2 linked regions of the Mus musculus genome follow. The protein of the gene in region 2 purifies or fractionates together with the protein of the main gene of each other region. This does not show direct contact. Links are inferred from orthologs where the notes say so. Each region holds a gene or a part of one and is shown on either strand. Other genes may lie near its edges. The genes, in order: Sin3a and Klf11.

The links.
Region 1: the proteins of Klf11 (region 2) and Sin3a purify together in Homo sapiens (affinity purification with western blotting, with the first as the bait; 3 studies listed by BioGRID). This does not show direct contact. The link is inferred for Mus musculus from reciprocal best matches to the Homo sapiens genes KLF11 and SIN3A.

What each region holds. Positions count from the first base shown.
Region 1 is NC_000075.6:57,107,707-57,118,966, forward strand, and holds part of Sin3a (paired amphipathic helix protein Sin3a), read left to right. Parts: intron 1-1,001; coding exon 1,002-1,185; intron 1,186-2,872; coding exon 2,873-3,446; intron 3,447-5,839; coding exon 5,840-6,009; intron 6,010-9,675; coding exon 9,676-9,849; intron 9,850-10,363; coding exon 10,364-10,456; coding exon of another isoform or gene 10,457-10,465; intron 10,466-11,260. UniProt on the Homo sapiens protein: Acts as a transcriptional repressor. Corepressor for REST. Interacts with MXI1 to repress MYC responsive genes and antagonize MYC oncogenic activities. Also interacts with MXD1-MAX heterodimers to repress transcription by tethering SIN3A to DNA.
Region 2 is NC_000078.6:24,646,347-24,657,706, reverse strand, and holds the start of Klf11 (Krueppel-like factor 11), read right to left. Parts: upstream 6,337-11,360; 5' UTR 6,183-6,336; coding exon 6,141-6,182; intron 4,149-6,140; coding exon 3,897-4,148; intron 2,865-3,896; coding exon 1,931-2,864; intron 1-1,930. UniProt on the Homo sapiens protein: Transcription factor. Activates the epsilon- and gamma-globin gene promoters and, to a much lower degree, the beta-globin gene and represses promoters containing SP1-like binding inhibiting cell growth.

The sequences.
Region 1 (11,260 bases), on a different chromosome or scaffold from region 2:
CAACACTAGGGATAGAGTAGAATGGCAGAACATACGTTAGGGGTTTTGTGGAACAAATGGAACAGATGTTGACAGGTGAGGGTGAAAGACTTGAGGTGCAGCTCGGTGGTCGAGTGCTTGCCTATCATGCATGAGTCCTGAGTTCACACAGAGAAAGCCTGATGAGTGTATGGTAGAGTGTAGTGCGTTCACATTTCAGGGTTGGGCTTTGTTTCTGTTGGTAGAAGGGAACTTAGGACTGTTTGTATACTATGCTTGATAGGGAAATACTTTACCCTACCCCAGACCGCAGGCGTTTGAGGGACTGTGATGTGTGTATGTGTCGGGGTGTGTATGGTGTGTGTATGTGATGGCTCAGAATGAGTTCAAACCTGCAATCTTCCTCCCTCACCACATGCCCTCTCTAGGAAACTTGCGTTTCCATGAGCACAGTAAAGATTCTGAGTCATAACAAAGAAGCAAGTTGCTTTAGTTAGTTGGGAGAACTAGTTTTTTGAGAATACTCCCCAAAACCAGATGTGGTTCATGCCTATAGTCCTCACATTAGGGAGGCAGACTCAGGAAGATTGCTGTAAGTTTGATAGTAGCTTGGTCTACATCATGAATTTTAAGTCATCCAAATTTTCAAATAAGGTCTTGTCTCAAAAATGGTTTCATGCTCCCTCTTAAAAACCCCATTGGTGATACCACTCACTTTGTGAATATTCATGGCAGCCAAATTTGACTTCTTTGCCTATAATGTCAGGATTGGGGAAGTAGAAGGCAGATTGCCATAGATTTTTAGATTAGTGTGGTCTATATACATTTTCCAGTAAGACTTGTATCACAAAAATAAGCTCCCTTAAGAAAAAAACCTCACTTGGATAACACCAAGGACATTTTTTGAAGCACCAACAGCATAGGTCTGAGTTTTCATCAAGTGTAGTAAGCCCGCGACACACTCCCGCATTTAACCCTCTCGATTCCCACATGCTGTACTTGTATCCCTTCTCACCTGCTAGGTTGAAGATGAAAGAAGAAGAGTGGCGAGAAGCTCAGAGAGGCTTCAACAAGGTCTGGCGAGAGCAAAATGAGAAGTACTACTTGAAGTCTCTGGATCACCAAGGCATCAACTTCAAGCAGAACGACACTAAGGTCTTGAGGTCTAAGAGCTTACTCAATGAGATCGAGAGCATCTATGACGAGGTGAGCTGGCTGACCGTACAGCTCCCTCAGCTCTGCTTTTTTGTGTTCAGCCTTGCTTTGACTTCTACAGTTAACTAAGAACTGCCAGTTCTTGTATCATGGTCTACCGTCTTAAACCTACTACTCACCGATTCACTCAGTTCTTCCTCTGGTTTCCCAGTTTACCATTCTGCCTTTAATGTACACTCTTCTTTTTTTTTTTTTTTTTTTTTTTCCATTTTTTATTAGGTATTTAGCTCATTTACATTTCCAATGCTATACCAAAAGTCCCCCATATCCACCCACCCCCACTCCCCTGCCCACCCACTCCCCCTTTTTGGCCCTGGTGTTCCCCTGTACTGGGGCATATAAAGTTTGCAAGTCCAATGGGCCTCTCTTTCCAGTGATGGCTGACTAGGCCATCTTTTGATATATATGCAGCTAGAGTCAAGAGCTCCGGGGTACTGGTTAGTTCATAATGTTGATCCACCTATAGGGTTGCAGATCCCTTTAGCTCCTTGGCTACTTTCTCTAGCTCCTCCATTGGGAGCCCAATGTACACTCTTCTAACAAGACCTGGCATCTCCTCTACCTCACTTAAAAAGTGGTAGTAACCCTGTTATTCTGCTCACTTAGCAGGGGTATGGATGGCACTTGGAGCAAAGACTCAGAGATAAATGTGAAATTGGTCTTGCTTTTTGTGACCTGCCTTAGGAGGTAGGAAGCATAAGTGACATCTATCAGGCTTTCAAAAGCTGGCCCTGAGTTTTAAAGAATAAAAATAGTAAGTGAACTTTAACAAACACTTAATTGTTTATCTTTGATAATTTGTTAACCTTTACATGAGAAATTCTTTTTTTTTTTTTAATACTTTTTATTAGGTATTTTCCTCATTTACATTTCCAATGCTATCCCAAAAGTCCCCCATACCCTCCCTCCCACTCCCACTTTTTGGCCCTGGCGTTCCCCTGTACTGGGGCATATAAAGTTTGCAAGTCCAATGGGCCTCTCTTTCCAGTGATGGCCGACTAGGCCATCTTTTGATACATATGCAGCTATAGTCAAGAGCTCCGGGGTACTGGTTAGTTCATAATGTTGTTCCGCCTATAGGGTTGCAGATCCCTTTAGCTCCTTGGGTACTTTCTCTAGCTTACATGAGAAATTCTACCCCAGTATTTTAAGTGCTAAATCTGGAATTTTAAAGGTAATTCTCTTAAGTCTTCAATATATAGAAGGCACTAATCTTTTTATATCAAGCCAATTTGTCCATAGTACTTATGAATATTTGGAAGAGAGACAAACATTATTAAGGTTAACTCTTGTATTTCAGATTAAGTAGCCACTGTCATGTCTCTGTCTAAGCCCAAACTGGCCTAGAATCTTGTACCCTTCCTGGCTTATTCTCCCAAAGGATGTAACTACAGATAGGTGCCACAGTGCCTAAAGTGCATTTTGGTTAATAATAAAAATGTGCTGCTAATGTACTCTTTGTTTGTTTTGAGACAGGGTATTTCTATGTATCCCTTCCTGTCATGGAACTTGCTCTGTAGACCAGGTTGGCCTTGAACTCATGGATCTGCTGGCCTCTGCCTCCTGGGTACTAAGTTTAAAGGCATTTCCCACCACTGCTCAGCATTTCTGGTATAGTATTGTAGGTTTGTTGTTGCTGTATACATGTCACACAATGCTTTTATGTCTGTTCCATCAGAGGCAAGAGCAGGCTACAGAAGAGAACGCTGGTGTACCTGTTGGCCCGCACCTCTCTCTTGCCTATGAAGACAAACAGATACTAGAAGATGCTGCTGCTCTGATTATCCACCATGTGAAGAGGCAAACAGGCATTCAGAAAGAGGACAAATACAAAATCAAGCAAATCATGCACCATTTCATTCCTGACCTGCTGTTTGCTCAGAGAGGCGATCTCTCAGATGTGGAAGAAGAGGAGGAGGAAGAAATGGATGTGGATGAAGCAACAGGAGCACCTAAGAAGCACAATGGTGTTGGGGGCAGCCCCCCTAAGTCCAAGTTGCTATTTAGTAACACAGCAGCTCAAAAGTTAAGAGGGATGGATGAAGTATATAACCTTTTCTATGTCAATAACAATTGGTATATCTTTATGCGACTGCATCAAATTCTCTGCTTGAGGCTGCTACGGATTTGTTCCCAAGCTGAACGGCAAATTGAAGAAGAAAACCGAGAGAGAGAATGGGAACGGGAGGTGCTAGGCATAAAGCGAGACAAGAGTGATAGTCCTGCCATACAACTACGTCTCAAGGAACCTAGTGAGTGCTTAGACTGTCAGCTTTATGCATGGGGTAGATGGCTGGCTTCAAGGCCACCTTACCTTGAAGTACACTTAGTCCTTAGATTGGAACTAGGGTTCGTATCCTACCTCTGCAACTTAGCTGGTTGTGTAACCTTCCTTGAACCCATGAATGAAACCCCCCCCCCAAAAAAAAAAAAATGGAGGCAGTATTTGTCACTTTCTGTGGTTGCTTGAGGGCTTAAGAAAGATGCAAGCATGGAACCTTGTACAGTATCCGGTTCATGGTCATGTGAGGTGTTTAGTTTGCACTGTGGACACATGAGGGACGTGGGATCCATTGGCTAGGTTAGTGAGCAGTGGTTCAGATGAGAAAGAAACGTCACAGTTCTTTCTATTCATAACATAGAAATTCCTTGTTATGCTTATGGCACATAAGGAATCTTTTCAGATGTGTGTTAGCATCTCCTTAATGGGCTTCTTGGTTCATTCCTGATATTTCTGAAGAGGAATTGGCACTCAAGATGGTTTGAGACAAGGCAAAGGGATAGACAGGATTCAAGGGAAAGGAAGCCCAGAGGCTCATTTAAGAAGCTAGCTATCATTGGCTGTATGCTGGGTTCTGCCGCCTCCTTCCACATAATGCTTTCATTCTGAAGTTGGGTGCTTAACCTGTGAGCCAGACACATCCTCACAGGCTTCCCTTCTTTGCTCTTCACGAAATAGTAAATAACTGCTGTAGGAGTCCTGTGTATAAACCTAGTTTCTTATCTGTTGAACTAATAGCACCAGGAATCTGTTTGAAAAGCCTTTATCTGTTTTAGTCCTAGCTTGGAAGAAACAAGTAGAATTTACAAATATAAATCTGGGCTTGATCACTGTCTTATCCTGGACTTATGCTGAAGCAGCTTATTCTTGAGTGATAGTGCCAACTTCATGCCAGTCATAGTTTGTGGCTATAAATCTGTGGTTTGGACTCTTATCCTAGTATATTTTAAAGGCTAGCTCCCTGCTTCCTGGGCTTAGACAAAGTGATGTAGTGTGACACAACTCAAACCAGTAACTTGTTTTAAGCAGTGATTGTTCGTTTTTGCCTGTAAGATCCACCCCATTTGTCCCCTTTCTAATTTCTCCTTACTAATGGATGGCCAGTAATCAGTAAGTGTACTTTTTGTAGTTAACATTTTTGATCAAATTTTTATTGATGTGCAACCTGTATGCAAAAAGGAACACAAATGAGAATCTGCATTTGTGTGGGGTGCATGTGCCTTATGTGCAAGGAGGCTAGAAAAGGCTATGGCCACTGTGTTATGTACCTTCCTTCTCGAGACAGCGTCTCACTGAGCCCCCTAGAGATCCTCCTCTCTGCTGACCTTCACAGTGCTAAGGTGACAGGTGGTGACAGCCAGGCTTTCACATGAGTGCTGGGGCAGGGGCTCTTATCCACTGAACCGTATCTCCTGCCCCACAAATAGAATTTTATGGCTCTAAATTTTTCTATAATGAGCATACTTTAGTCAAAAAAAGAGGTCAAGAAAATAAAGCCAAGCCCCAGTAACTTCTTTGTTCTACTATTTTGGTTTTCAGACTTAGAAATGAGTTTTTTTTGTATTTGAGAGTGGGTCTACTGCTATAAAATGCTCACTGTCCCAGAACTTGTTTTGTGGCCTAGGCTGGCCCAGCAATCCCCTTGCCCCTGGGATTATGTACATACATACATACGTACATACATATGTACATACATACATACATGAGCTCCTGGTGCCCTTCTTAGTTACTATGTCCTTTTACTAGTAAGATTCACTCCAGCTACTGGTTAAATGTTTCATGTGCAACAAATACAATTCATCTAATGTAATTACTGGAGTTCAGTGTTGCAAATCTATTTTAAGCAAAGGGACTGTGATACAATCAGAGTTATTCATTTTCATAGAGGGGTTAATTTGAATAACTTCTGTAGCCAAGAGTTCCAAGTGTGGTAGCATCTACCTATGCCTGTCTTCTCTTGTCCATACTTTATTCTTCATTGAGGTACACTCATGAGCAACTGTCCCCTTTGTGAAATGGTTTTGTGTAAGTGAAGGAGCCAGCAACTTGAAGGACTCTCTTGGGATATTTTGCTCTCAGGTGACAGAACTCAGCAGTGCTCAAAGTGTCTTTTTAGCAGTCAGTCTGTGCTGGAAGCGACTGTTAGAAGTTGCAGAGTCACTGTTGGTTCTTCGATGGACAGTTCTGGTGATTATAGCTGCCTACTAGATGTCATCTCTGTAGTGGGTTAAGTTGGACATGTTTTTGCATATCTGGTATTTTGTCCTTTCAGATGGTATATAGGCCAGCTGTGGGATTCTGTATTCTCTGTCCTCGAGCTTGTCTTAGCAGAGTACAGTCTTACCTGTCTAATCTTTCCTGTAGTGGATGTTGATGTAGAAGATTATTACCCAGCTTTCCTGGACATGGTGCGGAGCCTGCTTGATGGCAACATAGACTCATCACAGTATGAAGATTCACTGAGAGAGATGTTCACCATTCATGCCTACATTGCCTTTACTATGGACAAATTAATCCAGAGCATCGTCAGACAGGTGAGAGGGTGTGTTGGAGGTTAGCGCTACCAAGGGAAGGTGTTCTCAGCTAAAAGTCACAAAGGAAAAGCAAGATTTCTATGGGAAAAGGAAAAGCAGCTTAACCATATATATAGCAGTGTTTATAAACATATGTCTTTGAAGTGGAAAGGACCAAGTTAACATGAAGTCTTGTGTGGCTTCTCCTTCAGAGACAATAACAAACATCCCTTTGATACACTGACAGCAAACCAAAGAAATGATTCTAGTTAAGTCTTAGTGAGCCATTATGTGTGTTGGGGTCACTTAAGGAACATGAGCAACCCAAAGGCAGTGCAGTGAAAAGCCCACTGTACACAAAACCTGAGTCTTTGAAGCTCCTGCACAGCCAGAGGGCAGCTTGACCTATGGGAGAGAGTACTTTCCCCAGAAATTGTTTCTCCTTTTAGAAGAGGATCAGAAATTCAAGTTCATCCTTGGTGGGGATGGGTGTGGAGATGGTTTCTAATTTAAATTTCAGGGGATTTCTGAATTTTCTATTTCCTTTATTTCCTGAACCTTGTACATTTTGTTTACTTTATGAGTCTGGTGTTACTGCTCAGAGAGGATAGCTCAATAAGTCTCTCTCCAGCTCACAGAACTGGACTCTTCCAGCCCTGGAATTGGTTCTTAGGTTCTCAATGTGCCCCTCCTCAGAGCCTGTCCTAACAGCCATTTGTCTAGAACACAGTCCTACCTCTTTATTTATCCAAGAAGAAAGCATAGGTGTAGCTTAGCCTTTTCCATAGATGACAGTGATTCTGTTTATTTGCCTCATTTAGTATTAAAAGTCCTGTACAGTGCTCTGCCCACCTCATTATCTGAGACTCAGTGTTAGATTTGTGGTTGCTTTTATGTTTTGTTCCTGGAAATTTTAAATATGTGGAGTTGTTTGTAACAGGATCTCACTATGTTGTACTGTCTGACTGAGAACTAATCCTGTGTACTTCCTGAGTACTGAGATTATAGGTGTGAACTACAACGCCCAGCCAATGTGATACTTTCTAACTGTCATCCTTCTGACAGGGAGCATCCTTGTCTCGGGGTTTCTGTGGCGGCATTGTTGGCCTCCCTACTGAGGAGTAGGAAAAGCCAGTAAAATAAATGTTTCATAAACCCTATGTTATTTTTAAATAGATAATTCATTTATTTAGAAGAATCTGGTTATAAATTTATGTTAACGCTGTCAACATATTTTTAAGAACTGGAAATGGGAGTTGCCTCCAGAACCCACAACCATGAGTTTTTAAGACATGTTTAAGCTTTTCATTTGAACTCTTCAGTGAGTTTTGTCTGATTATGTTTTCTTTTTATTTGGTGGTCCCTTTGGTTGAACAAATATCAAGGTCAGGCCATATATTCGTCTTAATTTTCTCAGGCTGGGGCTTTATTTAGCTCAATTGGTAGAGTTAATTGCCAAGCATGACAAAGCCCTGGGTTGGATTTTCTGTACCCCATAAAATGGGTGTGGCACTACTCACCTCAGCGTTTGGAGGAAGAAGCCAGAGGAACAAAATGTGAAGGCCATCCGCGGCTACATAGGGAGTTCAAGGGCAGTTCCCCATACATAAGATCTCTCCAAACCAAGAATTCTAAGTAGGCAGGCTCAGTCATCTTAGCTACAGAACCATGATACAATGTCATCCTGTGAAGCCTTGACTAGGAACGCTTCCCTTCGTCCCAGGCTTCTCCACTCTAGTGCTTCTCTGCACGTGGACACTCAGCATATCAGCATACACTTCCGGCCTCTCCATCCCTCGAGACTTGAGCACCTCTGGGCTTGGTATTACCTAGCTTTCCCATGCGGTGCTTCTCTTTAACAGCAACAACAAAAATCTTGGAAAAATCATCCCTACATCATTTCTGGTTACCTGATGAAATACTTAATGTATGGCTGTACATACCCCATCGTTGTCTCTGGATTTGTAATGCTTCCATTTCTAAAGATTCTGAGAGAGGCAGATACCTAAAAGAGGATGTGAATAGAGGGTCAGTGGTACATAGTCACACGGAGAGAACTCATGTCTTGGCTAGACTGACTTTTCTCACTCTTCTCCCCCACTTAAAACTCTGTGACGCTTTCACTGTCTTTATCAAGTCATAACATTCCTTACTTCAATGGTATTGTCCAAGTCTTTTATACTTCACAAAGACTGTATCTTCCTAAAAAATAGAATGGCGTAGTAACCATGATAACATGAGATTAACTAAGTAAAATTGATGAGTCAGTATTGAAATTTACATTTTTGCTTCTCTGCTTTTTAGGGACCAGTTGGTTTGGTGTTAGGCACTGAATGTAAGACTTTGTGCTTGCTAGGCAAGCCTCATTTCCTGACTTTAAAGGTTTTCTTGTTTTGCTGTATGTGTATGTGGAAATCGGAGAATAACTTACGAGAGTGGGCTCTCCTGCCACTGCGTGAATTTCAGGGCTAAACTGAAGTTGACAGTTTTACCCTCTGCGCCATTTCTTAGGGGACTTTTAATTTCACAATAAGAATAGTAGAGTGGGAATGGATGTTACCCACTGTGGCATTTGTTGTGGCCTGAGCTGGTCCCAGCAGCCTTTGTAGAGTTAATATAAGGCACTGAGTCTCTGCTAAGCCTTGTCTCCTCCCCTCAACAACAAAACAGGTTCACAGTTTCCAACACGTTTACCTTCTATGAAAAATGAGCAGTTAGGCCAAGGATATAACTTTACATAGTCCTGGGTTTCATATAACTCAGTCTTGGAAAAAAAATAGAGTTAACATGTACAATTTGAGGGTTATTCTGTGTGAATGCACTAATTAGTGGCCTGCTAGTGAGGACGCTACCTTGGTGCAGGAGCTTGACCTTGAGGCTTGGTCTGCTCTTTAGTTGAATTCATGGGGGCAGGTGACGCTGCACCAGTTGCTTTTTTGTTTTTGAGACAGGGTCTATACATAGGCCTGGGTGTCCTGGAACTCACTATGTAGACCAGACCAGTATTGAGCTCAGTGATTGCCTGCCTATGCTGGGATTAAAGTGTGGGCCATCATACCTGGTGTCTGCTGCAACTTTTAAGTTTAGGAATCCTAGATTGAGCCTAGCAAGTAGCTCAGCAGCTAAAAGCACTTGTAGTTCTTGTCAGCACCCACGTGGACGTCCATGTCCTCCTGTAACTCCAGTTCCAGGGAAACCAGTGTTTTCTTCCAGCCTCTGTCTATGGGCACCAGGCATAATATAGCTGACACACCACAAGCTTACACACAAAGCACATAAAGAAAAATAACAAATATTTATTTAAAAATAAAATCAGATGAATCTTGTTTTCAGAATTCTTTGAGATACCTGTCTTAACTCCAAGTCTCAAAAGTTTTAATGTCTTAACACAAAAAAATTTCTCACAATGGGACATCCCTCCATTCCAACATGGTTCACAGGGTAATTGTAGATTGGATAAGAAATACATGTGAAACAAGATTGTAAACAGTTTAAAAGTACATGGAGAGGGGACACACACCATGGAGCCTGGTAAGGTGGTGCATACCTGTAGTCCCAGTATTTGGGAGGTGATAGTACTTAGCTTCTTAAATTAAAAAAAAAAAAAAAAAACAAAACATGTTTGTAAGCTGCCTGCGGACAGGAGAATCGGCCCTGGCTCACTGGCCGGCCTGTGCTTTGTTCCAGCTACAGCACATCGTCAGCGACGAGGTCTGTGTGCAGGTTACTGATCTTTACTTGGCAGAAAACAATAACGGAGCCACGGGAGGCCAGCTCAACAGTCAGACTTCAAGGAGCCTTCTGGAGTCAGCATACCAGCGGAAGGCAGAGCAGCTTATGTCAGATGAGAACTGCTTCAAGGTAAGAGCCGCTCATCGAACCGTGGACCCCAGTGCTGCTGGCTAGACTGGTACAGGCTGGACTGGGGTGTGAGCCATGTAACCTGAGCAACCATTTACTAGCAAACTCGTACTAGCAAATGTTTACTGATTTTTTTTTTTTTTTTTTTTTTTTTTGGTTAGGATTGATTTTTATGATTTTTATGCTTTCTCTTCATGTGTTTGTCCATCACCTGAATGGAATGTCCCCAGAGGCCAGAGGCCTCTGTCCTGTCCTGGAATTGAGTTAGACCATGTGGTTCTGGGAGTCAAATCCAGGTCCTCAAGTAGAGCACCCAGCACTCCGCCATCTCTGCAGTCCCATTTCTACCTTACCATCACCAGCTTTTCAGTACCTTTCATATCTCTTCCTTTGGAACAAATTGTATAATTTACCTTTCTACTTACACTGTGACAATCTAGGTTTATAGCCTTGAAATTTTAGGGTTTGTTTGTTTGTTTGTTTGTTTTGTTTACACTTTGCTTCTTTTTTGCAGCTAATGTTCATTCAAAGTCAAGGTCAAGTTCAGCTGACTGTTGAGCTCCTGGACACAGAAGAGGAGAACTCAGATGACCCCGTGGAAGCAGAGGTGTGGACAGTATGTTTCAGAGCTTGTCTGCTCACCCTGAATTCTGATGGGCTGTAGCTCCTTAGGATGTTTGTGATTTTGTTTTTAGGGTTTATTTGTGTGTGTGTGTGCATTGTGGGTGTGTTCAAAGGACTAAAGTCCTCTAAAGAGCAGCCAGTGCTCTTAACTACTGAGCCATTTCTCCAGCCCCTCCATAGGTTTTAAGTGTCAGGATGTTTAGAGCGCAGGCTATATCACTCCCTTTGGAGGCTCTAGTGGTAGTAGCCATTTAGAGTCAATGCCCCCTTTTCATCCTTAATAATGTGGGTAACAGCTTTGCTGGCCTTTTCTTTTTGTTTTTCTTCCTAAATAGCAGTAAACATGGTTCTTTTGTTTTGTGGTATCATTTGATACAGCCTCATGTTTACTTTTTAGTAATAGCCAGGCTACATAGATGATAGAATAAGACAGTTTGGCTTACATTTCCAAAAACTTTGCTTCAAAAGCTGCCAGAATTCTACATATTAATGTGGGAGATTTTCCGTGACACTATTTTACCATTTCTTCAGATTATTTTTGATAACCATCTTAAATGTACTATCTTGCTGGCTAACACATTTTAACATATGTATTTCAATAACAACATACATATCTTTCAGGTAAGGGGCATTACTTTTTAGTTTTACACTGTTGGCGTTAAAATAGACAAGCACTTTACCACTGAGCTATGACCCGAGAACCTCCCCTCCTTATTTATTTATTTATTTATTTATTTATTTATTTATTTATTGGATAGGCTTAGTCTCACAGGTGAGAGAATTGTTT
Region 2 (11,360 bases):
GACCACCATTTACAAGGTGTGACACCAGGAATTCTCTATCTAGTTTAGACGATAAAACAAGGGGTGGGGGTGGGCATCACGATTTAGCATGCTTGCTGCTCTTACATCACACATACAGCAGACCCCAGGACTTACAGTGGCAACTCACAATCACATGTAACTCCAGCTCCAGGGGTCAAATCTACAGGCCGCTGCGCTCACATGCACATACTCACACACAGAAACATAATGGGTGTGGCAGCACACCTCTTTAATCTCAGTACTCAGGAGGCAGAGGTAGGTGCATTTCAAGGCTAGCCTGGTGTATATAGAGCAAGTTCCAGGATGGCCAGGACTACAGAGAAAAAAAAAAAAACCACTGTCTTAAAAAACCAAAACCAAAATAGGAGTAGTAGTAGTGATAATGATAATAATAATTTAAAAATCCTAAAATTGTAAAAACAAAGCAGAAGTGAAGAAACAAAGGAAGTGGTGGTGAGACACAATAACTCCCTAGGGTCAAAGAGGATGGATATCAACATACACTCAACCTTTGTGGGGCAGGCCCTGAAAGGATCAATAGGCAGAGATGGGAGAGGGCTGAGGCTGATGTGTGGAAACAGACAGATGAGAACAAAAGAGCCTGTGTTTGCTCTGACAAGGAGACAAGTCCAGGACAGCTGTAAGGTCCGAATCCTAAAGCCGACCTCGGCTTCAGCATATGAAGGGACAATTCTTTCTGGAATGTCTGCTTCTGGAGTCTGCCACAGCCGGAGTACACTGTGCTAATTAGAAGCCAGCCTGCATCAACCTATTTTGAAATAAAAACCTGCAGCAGGAACTCTCTCCAGGCCTTTCCTGTGCTCGATCCAGACATCCTAATGGGGTGATGTTTCAGGGTTGAGTGTAGGAAGCTCTACTGCAGACGTCTGTACACATGCTCACATGTAAATACGTGATTCTCTAAAGTCAGCTTTAACAAGAAGACTAGACTATGTAACCACTAAAAAATGCCAAACACATCAACTCACAGAGCACCTAAGAAACACTTGCTCTACTCTACCAAGTGATTCCTGCCAGGTGGCGCCCAGTGTCCCTGCTGGACAGCATGGCTGGCAGTCACCAGCTCACAGAGCTGTAAAACATCAACTAATGAGAATGTGCAATGCAGTTCTCAAACCACCCCTTTTCAAGTGCATATGGCTAGTGGCTATCCTAATGGCCAGAGAATGTTAAAAAAAATAAACTCAGAAGTTTATAACTGTGTGACTTAACCTAAAACTCTACAGTTTCAACCGTACAGTTAAAACACTCTATAGTATGAACTTTGAGGGTCTGAACACACCTCCAGTCACACCGATGTTTTTACTAACGCCTACTGTAGTAGGGTGAAGAGTATCCTAAAGCCATCTCAAGTCCCCATTCTCTCCTCCCTCCGGCAGGTACCTGCCTCTCTTAAAGGGGTCTCAGGGAGCTTTCCTCCCTTGAGCTGTGTTCCCATCACACCAGGCACCCCACTGTAGAAAGAATATTTTATGTCTGTATGGATGTGGTACCTGTCAATAATCCGATGGCCTATGGCTTAGGTAGGAAATAGGAGGTAGGACTTCTGGGAAGAATTCTGGGATAGAGCCAGGCGGGAGATTCACCTGGGAAGATCTACTATATTCTCTGGCCATTAGGGAAGCCACTAGCCACATGCACTTGAAATGAGCTGGTTTCACTGAGAACTGATATATACATCCTCAGTAGTTGAGGTAGACATGGTACCCGAGCCATGTGGCAGAATGTAGGTTAAAATAATTGGGTTATCTAAGTTATGATCTAGTCAGAGTAGAGCTCAGCTATATGGCCAAGGTATTTGTAAACATAATTTGAGTCTGAGTCCTATTTCTGGGAGCAAGGGGCTGAGAGAAAGAACCGGACTTAACTTCTACACCCTACCACTTACCTGTGTGAGTGCGAAGATGAGCTTTAAGGTGGGAACTTTTGAAGTAGGTCTTCCGGCATCCTGGGAAGTTGCAAACATAGTTCCTCCTTCGGGAAAAGTCTACCTGAGGGGCACAGTTCTGGCTGGAGGCAAGGAACACTGGTGCAGGGGCAAGGGGCAACAGCTTGGTATTTCCAATGGCCATGACACTGGATGGACAGGCAGCAGGCTGGGGGAAGGTGTTCTGTGGCAAGACCAGCATCACAGTTCCCTGAGGCACAGGTGGGCCCATGAACACAGGCTGAGACATTGAAGCAGCTTGGGGTAGGATGGGCTTGATAGTCCCTGCAGGCAACTGGGTAGGAGGTTTCAAAAAGGCTGAGAACAAGCCATTCTGTCCAGCCACAGGGATCATCTGGCAAAGGACAGGGGGACTGGATACAGGGACAGAAATCAGAGGGGTGATTTTCCTTGACAAGTCACTTTCAGGATTCTTTGGTAAGCAGGTCTGAACAGCAGCGGGCCATCCTGTCTGTTGACCTTTGTCAGTGGGGAACGAACCACCGGACTTGTGCAAGCAAGGCTGACAGGAAACCAAGTTAGTGACGAGTAAGCCATTTGCCAAGCGTGTGTCCTGCAAGGCTTCGAGGTGGTCCAGCAAACGCTCCTGTCCTTCTCCGCTGTCGGATGCTCGTTGCTCTTGAGTGGGGCCAGTTGGGAAGCGCGTAGGAGCAGGACTCTCCCCGGTGTGACGGATCACACTGGTCATCACAGCCCTGCAGGAGGACCCTGAGGCTGGCTCCAGTGGTTCCCTCTTGCTCAGTGTTCTGGGGCCCCCAGCAGGGGATGGGGGGAGGGCAGTGACCATGCATCCTTTGGAGTTAACTACTTGGGAAGGAACAGGGGTCCCTGTTGACGGCTCCGTGAGCTCTGGGCTCTGAGGAGGAGTTATACACTTTTTAAAAGAAAAAGGGAAAGAAAGAACAGCACCACATCAAAGGTTGTTTTGGTCAAAAGAGCAGCGAAGATATTATCTGACCGCACTGCTCCCGCTGCCTGCGAGGGGACTGCACAGACTGACCCAAGGGATCTCTGGGGACCCTGCTGTTCCTGCTTCTCCCAATACGGACTGTCCCTACTCAACCATGCATATGTCTTGTTGAAAGGAAGGGTGGTGTCAACCCTAGGTCATGCGCGTAACTACTGAAATAAGCAATTTAACTACAAGGACTGCAGAAAGAAAACGGATTCTTACTTTAAAATAAAAGCGCTCATGACGTTTCAGTCCTTAAATCAAGAAAGCACTGGTTCTCCTGAGCCACACCTCTCTGTGCTGGCTCCCAGCAGTTTCTTGGCCACCTCATAAAAGCCCAAGCCTGAAAACCCGAGGGCTACTATGAGCCAGCCTGGACTTCCTCCAGTGCTCACCGCCACCAACTCCTCCAGCAAGTCCCTAGCCTGGGCAGTCAGCCCTCAGCTGCACTACTGCTAGCATTCGATCTGACTTCTCCAACCCGGAAGCACTTTCACTGGTGCTGTAAGTTAAAACCTAAAAATAAAATACTGGTTTACCAACTTCAAGTTACACTAGTTGGCTGTCACAGGAAGGCAGAGGTGGCGTGTCTCCACTAAGCTAAAGACTGTCTGATGTCAGAGCACATGTGTTCTCGTTTCCCACAAATCCTCATCCTAGTCTGGGACCACTCAAGACCACACCTTAAGACTCCTAGAAAACAAGCACAATACACCTTTCTGCAACCACCTACAGGCTTTGTCCCTGAGCACCTGTCAGCAAGTTATGACCTACCACTGAACAGAAAGCACATTTAAGAGAGGAATTTTCACACTTTGGCATCCACATAAAAGGAGTACAGGCAACCTCTTGGCCAGCATCATTTGTTAATCTCCGTCCAAGTTCTCCAGCGCATTTTACCTATGCTATTCTAGGCAGTTCACAAAAATGCTTCTCTCCCCCACCTCCTCTTACCAGAGTTGAAAAAGAATGGAAGTCCTTTGGTAGATCAGGTGCAGCTGTGTCCATAAGCACAGCAGTGGTGACGTCACCAGAGTCAGAGACAGGCGTGAGGGGTCTCATCTGGGACCTCTGACCCCAAGAGCTCATGCAGACAAGAGCTTCCACAGCTTCGATGTCCGTCTGCTCCAGGACGCTGCATGTGGACCTTTCGCTGTCATGCCGCTTCCTCTCCAGGATCGACTCACAAATGTCCATGATGTCAGCCTAAAGGCAGCACAACACAGTGGCTCCTTAGTTCAGGAGAATAAAGGGACGATAACCCTGACAGGTATGTGGGTCTACCATAGACATGTGCAGCACCCTTAACAAAGCAATGGTCTCTGTCTTGGAATAAAAAGACCCAAACGGGACTCTCAACACAACTTTGTTTTCAAGCTCTGAAGACTGGGCTTGGTTGAGAAACAGTTTCCACAAAAAACAAAACAAAAACAAAAACAAAAAAACCAACAAAAACAAAATAAAACAAACAAACAAAAACCCGCCCCCGATTCTTAAAAAGGTTCCAAGGCGGGGCTATTGCTCAATAGTTTAATGCCTGACTACCTCACGTGTGCACCTGAATTCAATCCCCACAGCTATAAAATAAACAAAACAGGTTACTAACTTCTTCTCTTGGCTAAATGATGAAGATTAACTCTAGAGGTAAACACCAGAATGGCTAGCAGGAAGGTGTTGTAGGAAAGGGAAACAGGCAAAGCAGCAGATGAAACCAAGCAGCCAGTTAGCTGGTGGGTGAGATCATCTAGCGCAGGACCAGAGTGGTGTCCCTAAGAAAGGAAACACTACCCCAAGCTTAATTTCCCAGTGGCTGGACCTAGGTTCCATGCTAGCACAGTCCTCCGTGACTGCCTGCTTCCTCAGCAGACTCAGAAACATTAAATCACTTGTTATGAGAACTAGGGAGGAGGTCAGGTGAGAGGAACAGCATGAGAAAGCTCAACCATAGTCCAGGAAAGGTGTCTCCTCCTGTATACCATGTCACCTTTACATGCAGGAGTGGGGAGGAAGGGACTGGAACCTAGCCTGTCCAAAAGAGAAACTTAAGCCTACAGACACATATTTCCATACATATTTTCTGAGCTTCAAAACTTCCTGTCTGTCCAGATTCCCCTTCACTGAACAGGCAAAGATATGACCATAGGGGCCAGACAACCTCCTGGAAGGGTATTTTGATTATGAGCCTTCAAGTGGAATCAATGTCCAGCCCCATACTAGGAAAGAATGCGAACGTAGGTTCCCTTGAGTCCATGTAATACTGTGTTCTCACCAGGAACCTGCTCCGCACCACTTCTCTGGCCCCCTACATTTCTATCAGGTTCTGTTGCTCCACACCCTACACCTTCTGACAGAGGTCCCTGCCATGACTTCACTCAGTCCCTGGGCCCAAGCCTGCAAAGTCCCATTTTACCACACCCCTTCTCACTTAGACTCCACCCTTCGCCCAGCTCTACCCTTACCAGCCCATTAAGCTTGGCTGACACACCTCTTCGAACCACACTCTTGCACACTCGCCTATCAAGACACACTATTGCCTTGCTCCTCATTCCGTCGTAACCCCATCCAGGCACTCTGGCCACACCCTCCTGAGATACCTTTACTTTGGCTCCACCCACAGCCCCTCCCACTGCACTCCTACCAGATGCTCTCACCACACTCCCTCCCTTCGGCTTAGCCTTTGCCCCGCCCCTAGATAAACTCTCACTATGCACTCTTACATCGGCCCCGCCCCACAGTCCTACCAGAGGTTCTCACCAAGCTCTCTAGCTTCGGTTCCGCCCTCTTACACTACTACCAGGTGCTTTCACCATGTCCTTCGCCTTGGTCCCATCTAGTTCCCCCAATATCTCCTCCAAGCACGCTTGCCCACGCCCTAGCTTTGGCCACGCCCCCATGCTGCGCCCCAGCTTTGACTCCGCCCCCAAGTTCCCGCCAGCCGCGCCCACATCCAACAGCGGTCCTCCTCTGGATTCGGGTGACGTCATGGCTGGAAATAGCCGCGCCGGGCGGGGCCGCAGCGGACCAGAGACAAAGCTGAAGGCAGGCTGCCGCGCTAACACACCCCCCTCCCCACCCTGACCCGGCCGAGCCTCCGGGTCCCTGTCCGGACCAGAGCAAATCCGCAGCCCCCACCGCAGCGAGAAGTCGCCATCCCTCCCGCGTCCCCCGTCTCGTCCCGCGCTCAGCCCCGTCACTTACCGCGCGCCCGTCGCCGGGGCCGGTGGAGCCCGGCGAGTGCATGGTGCCGTATGGCCTGCAGGCAGCAATGCTGCGAGGCAGGAGCCCTGCGTGCGGCGGAGGCTGCACGTGTGCGGCGGGCGGCGGTGTCCCGAGCGTCTGTTCCCGGCGCGCACCTCCGCCTTCCTTGCCGCGCGGCTCTGCCTCCGCGCGGCCCGGGAGGCGCGGGAGGGGCGGGGCGCCACGGAGGGAGCGGCCCTGGGCGGGGCGCGCGGGCAAACCAAAATACACCGCTCCCTGCTGGGGGCATGGCCTCTGCCGCCAGCCAATCAGCGCCAGGCCGGCAAGAAGCGGGCCAATGGGCGCCGCGGGGGGGCGCGTGATCGGAGCCTGGCTGCGGCGTGATCCGGCGGGGCGGGCGGCGGCACGTGTTTTGGTCCGGGCTAGAGGCGGGGCGTGAGGCCTGGAAAGTAGGGGAAAGGTCCCGGCGGCGGCGCGGCGGCAGTCGACCGCAGTAAGGTCCTCTTCTGCCGCAGGGGCTGCTCGCAGAGGTCGCGCGCTGGCCCCACGCCGTGGACGGATCTGGTAGGCGGGACCCACAGGGACGGCCTCACCCTGTCTCTAATTTCTTTTAAGCTGTCGTTGGCTCTTAGGACCGCATCTCTGCCCAGGAAGAGGCTTGAAAGCTGCTTGGGTTTAGGGACGACATCCGCTTTTTCCTGCATGGCGCCAGATCAAATGCTCTTCCTACTCTAATCTGCCTTCTGCTACAAAAGAACTACAGCCGTGTAGTCAGCCACTCGACATGTACCTAATGAAGCCTGCGCATCCTCCCCAGTGGCCATACAAAGGACACCCACTTGGGGTGTCCTCAGGCCTACGTGAGACCTGACCCAAATCCTGAGTATCCGTTTTTTCCCCTTGGGCCTTTAGGTGCGGTTATTCATGTACACTCATCACAAGTCTTGGAGAGCAGAGGTCAATGCATGCAGTATGTCGTGCCCACCTCCAACCTACAGTGCAGCAATAGGGCACCCCTCTACTAACCCCCTGATGCCTCACTGCAGAGCCTTGAAACTAGTGGAGGTCTGGGAGAATCATTGCTGATATGAGCAGACAGGAGCTGGACATTATGCTGCCTATTTTTATCAGACAGGTGAGCAGGCAGAGAGGCAGGCAGGCAGAGAGCCCTGTCCTTAAGCTGGTAAGGCCTAAGGGTTATAGTTGCAACCCTGATTCCTCAGTTTCACACTGGCTTGACAATGGAATTAAGTGAACCAAAGAAAGGGAGTTTGTTGAAAGTAACAGTAGGAGTGTTTAAAGGTGAATTCACATGTCTAACTACTGGGGCATTTAACACACATGGAGTTAGTCTTCTACTTGGGCCTGTTTAAATTGTTTTTGCTTCATTCCCACACTGAATTTCTGACTCCCCGTGTTCACCCTTACCTATAATGCCTCCGCCCCATCCAACGTCCCTACTGTCTCCTGTTCTCTCCACACGTGGTTTTATGGCGTATGTGTTGGAGAATAATCTCCAGAGTAATATGTTAATAGTATTTGGAGAGGGAGCCTTTGGAGGGTGATTGGGATTAAGGAAGGGTTATGGGGTCTTAAAATTAGAGAGACCAGCTAGTTTGCTCACTCTACCTGACCACGTGACACTCTTGTGTCATAATCCAGCAGGAAGACCCCCTTCACACATACACACACACATATACACACACACATACACACACACACACACACACACACACACACACACACATGTCAGAGGGTGAGCAGAATTAGCCTTCCTGGATTGCAGAGCTCTGAGCAGAATGGACTTTTTACATAGGAAGTGGAGGTGTGTGGCTCAGTTGGTAAAGAGCTTGCGTCAAGAAGACCCGAGGTCCACCCCTAGAACCGACATAAAAAGCTAGGCATGGTGGTACACACCTGTAATCCCAGCACTGGGGAAGTCCAGACAGGCAGAAAACACTGGGCTTCACTGTTCAGTCAGCCTGGCCAAGTCAAGGTCCCTACACCCAATCCCAATGAGACACTCTGTCTTAAACAAATCCGACAGAACCAGGGTGGGTGGCTCCTAAGAAATTACACCAGAACTGGGCGGTGGTGGCTCATACCTTTAATCCCAGCACTTGGGAGGCAGAGGCAGGCGAATTTCTGAGTTTGAGGCCAGCCTGGTGGGTGTACAGAGTGAGTTCCAGGATAGCCAGGACTACACAGAGAAACCATGTCTTGACACCCCCCCCCCAAAAAATGAGACTGGAGGTTAACATCCAGGCTCCACATGGACACACACACACACACACACACACACACACACACATCCAGGCTCCACATGGACACACACACACGCGCGCGCGCGCGCGCGCGCGCACGCTATATATAAACTTCCTGGTCTCGGAAGTGTTGTTATAACAGAAAAATAAGACAAGCAGCCAGGGCTCCTCTGGGTCACCTGTCCCATCAACTGCTGTCTCCAGAGTTCAGCATTTGCTGTGACATTACTGGCACGTCTTCCTTGGACAGCCTCTCCCAGCATACTTGTGGACTCAGACTGACCTCATGCCCTCACTGCTGTCTCTGCCTCACCTCCTCATACACTCTGCAAGCTCTGCAGTGTTTCTGTGTCTTTGCGTACTGCCTGTCTCTTCTTGGATGGGGAGCATGGCTGATCTATCCACATCATCTCACAGTAACTGTTGACTGAATGCATCACACCAGCCCTATCAACCCTGCTGGCTTCTGTCTGGAGCACCTCTCAGGTACCTCTCGCTCTCATCCAGCATTCTTGGGAGTGAACTTGTGTTTACCCTAATTTGATGTCCTCGCTCCAGCAGGGTGCCCTGGCCATTCTGCCTCTTGATCTAGTAACATGGTTCACCTTCAGCTCCTCCCTTTCCTGTGTTTGTTCTTTCACCAATGACATCACCGTTTCTTCTAAAATACTGCTCCAACTGTTCCCATCACTCACTCCTCCCCTTGCTCAGGCTGCTATACAGACAGACCTGAATGATTGTCACCTTTTCCCAGCAAAACTTCCTACCTCCAGGCTGTCATCTGCCTCTCATTGCTGGAAGGATTTTCCAAAAGTGGACAATATACAGTCCCATACTCAAAACCTCTGGACATTCAAACTTACCCAGGATTCTTCTGGCCCTGACTCCAGTGCACAGGAACCCCCATCTTTCTCCACTGCTTCCCAATTGCTCGCTCTGAGTCTGCAGTATGACCCCTGGCAACTGCTCAGTACAAAGCCATGTGCTTGGGCTTTGGACCCAAGTCACCTCTTTGGCAGTGTGAGCTTACCCAAGTTCTGTTGTCTGCCTGCTTCATTCTTACAGGGTAGAAGGCAATGGCTCTCCTGAGACCTGGAAATTCTCTCACTCTGCACTGTGTTTCCTGGACATCAGGGATGCTTGGGAGCATGGTTCTTAAGCCACAAGACTCCAAGTCTACCCATATCCAGTCCATCTTCCAAACAGCCAAGCCGGCTTCTGTTGCTGCCAAGCTCCTGACCTTATTCATATTCAAGAGGATATTGATCTTTTTATAAGCTAAATGACTTCATAAGACCCCCATGATCCAATGCTCAGAGACAGTGTAGTCCAGCAGGTAGGACTGGACATAGCTATAGAGAAGAGCTTTAGAGAGAGCAGTGTGCCTTAGGCCAGAAAGCCCAACCCCTGTATGTGCTTGCAGTCTATATGTGTGCACGTTGTCCTGCAGGGAGGATTGCATTCTATGAACCTTCTGAGCCTGCAGACCTCACATTATGTCTTGGAGGTTATTGCACATTGGTCCATAAAAATCAACCCTGTTCCTGGTAATGGTTAAATAACAGGCCATTATGGATGTGTTATGAATTGTTTAACACTTATGGTTGAATAGTCAGGACATCTAGATCGTTTGCCACTTCCCAGTATATCCTGCTGGTCCACTGTTTGCCCACATGTAAAGAGAGCTACAGGATCAGTTATCAGCATAATTGCTAGTATTAACAGCTTTGAGGGCTCTGCCTTCCCTCTTTGCTTTCTCTCCCCTCTCAACTGTCCGTCTCTGTGGATTTTACTGGAGCATAGCATGGTTACAGGAAAGCACAAATGATAGGCACAGCTCAGTGAGTCTTCACTGTACCACCAACAGCCAGAAAAAGAAACACTATTCCTAGAAGCCAGAAGCCCCTGAGTTTCCTCAGATCACCATTTCATCCTCCCTCACCCAGCATAATTCTTATTATGGCCTCTACGGGCATTGATTACTTGTTTGCGTGTGTGTGTTTGAAACCTTTACAAAGAATTTACAGCATGTGAAATCTGGCTTCCTTTGCTTGATATGCTGTTACATAGAGTTGGGTTTTGTATGTGTATGTATGTGTAGTTGTTTGTAGTTGTTTGTGGATGTGCATGCATCAGTGTGCATGCATTGGAGACTGGATGTCAAGCTGGAGTGTTGTACCTCAGGAGCCATCTGCCTTGTCTTTTGAGACAAGTTCTCTCACTGGGACCTGGGGCTGGACAATTAGACTAGATTGGCTGGCCACAAGTCCCTAGGAACTGCCTTTTCCTTAGTGCTGGGACTACAAGTGTGTGCCAGTTTTTTATTGGGCAGCAAAACTGTTTTGACTGAGCTATCTTCCCAGGCCCGGTGTTTATTTTCTTCTAGAAATCCTTATTGCTATAGTGCAGACCTTAGGATTGTTTCCAGTCTGATGTTATTAGGAATAAAACTGCTATAATAGTCCTGGTACATGTGCATGCACTCTGCTTTCTTTTCTTTTCTTTTCTTTTCTTTCCTTTTCTTTTCTTTTCTTTTCTTTTCTTTTCTTTCCTCTTCTCTTCTCTTCTCTTCTCTTCTCTTCTCTTCTCTTCTCTTCTCTTCTCTTCTCTTCTCTTCTTTTCTTTTCTTTTCTTTTCTCTTTGAGACAGGACCTTGCTATATAATCTGAGCTGGTTTTAAATTCATGGCAATCTCCCTGCCCTAGCCTCAAACTTCACCAAGATTCTTTGACTCTTTGGAGACAGACTGTATTGAGATTACAAGTGTGCACAACCATAAATTACTTTATGGTTACCCATACCCAGCTATTTAATGGGTTTCTACCCACACACTTACTAAGTTAACAGGGAAAAAACAGAATCCAGAAAGCCCACGGAATTTCTTTGATGTCCACCCCCAACTTTCTCCCCTCATATTTTTGCAAAGCCACCTTGATTTTCAGTGATTGTTGAAGGA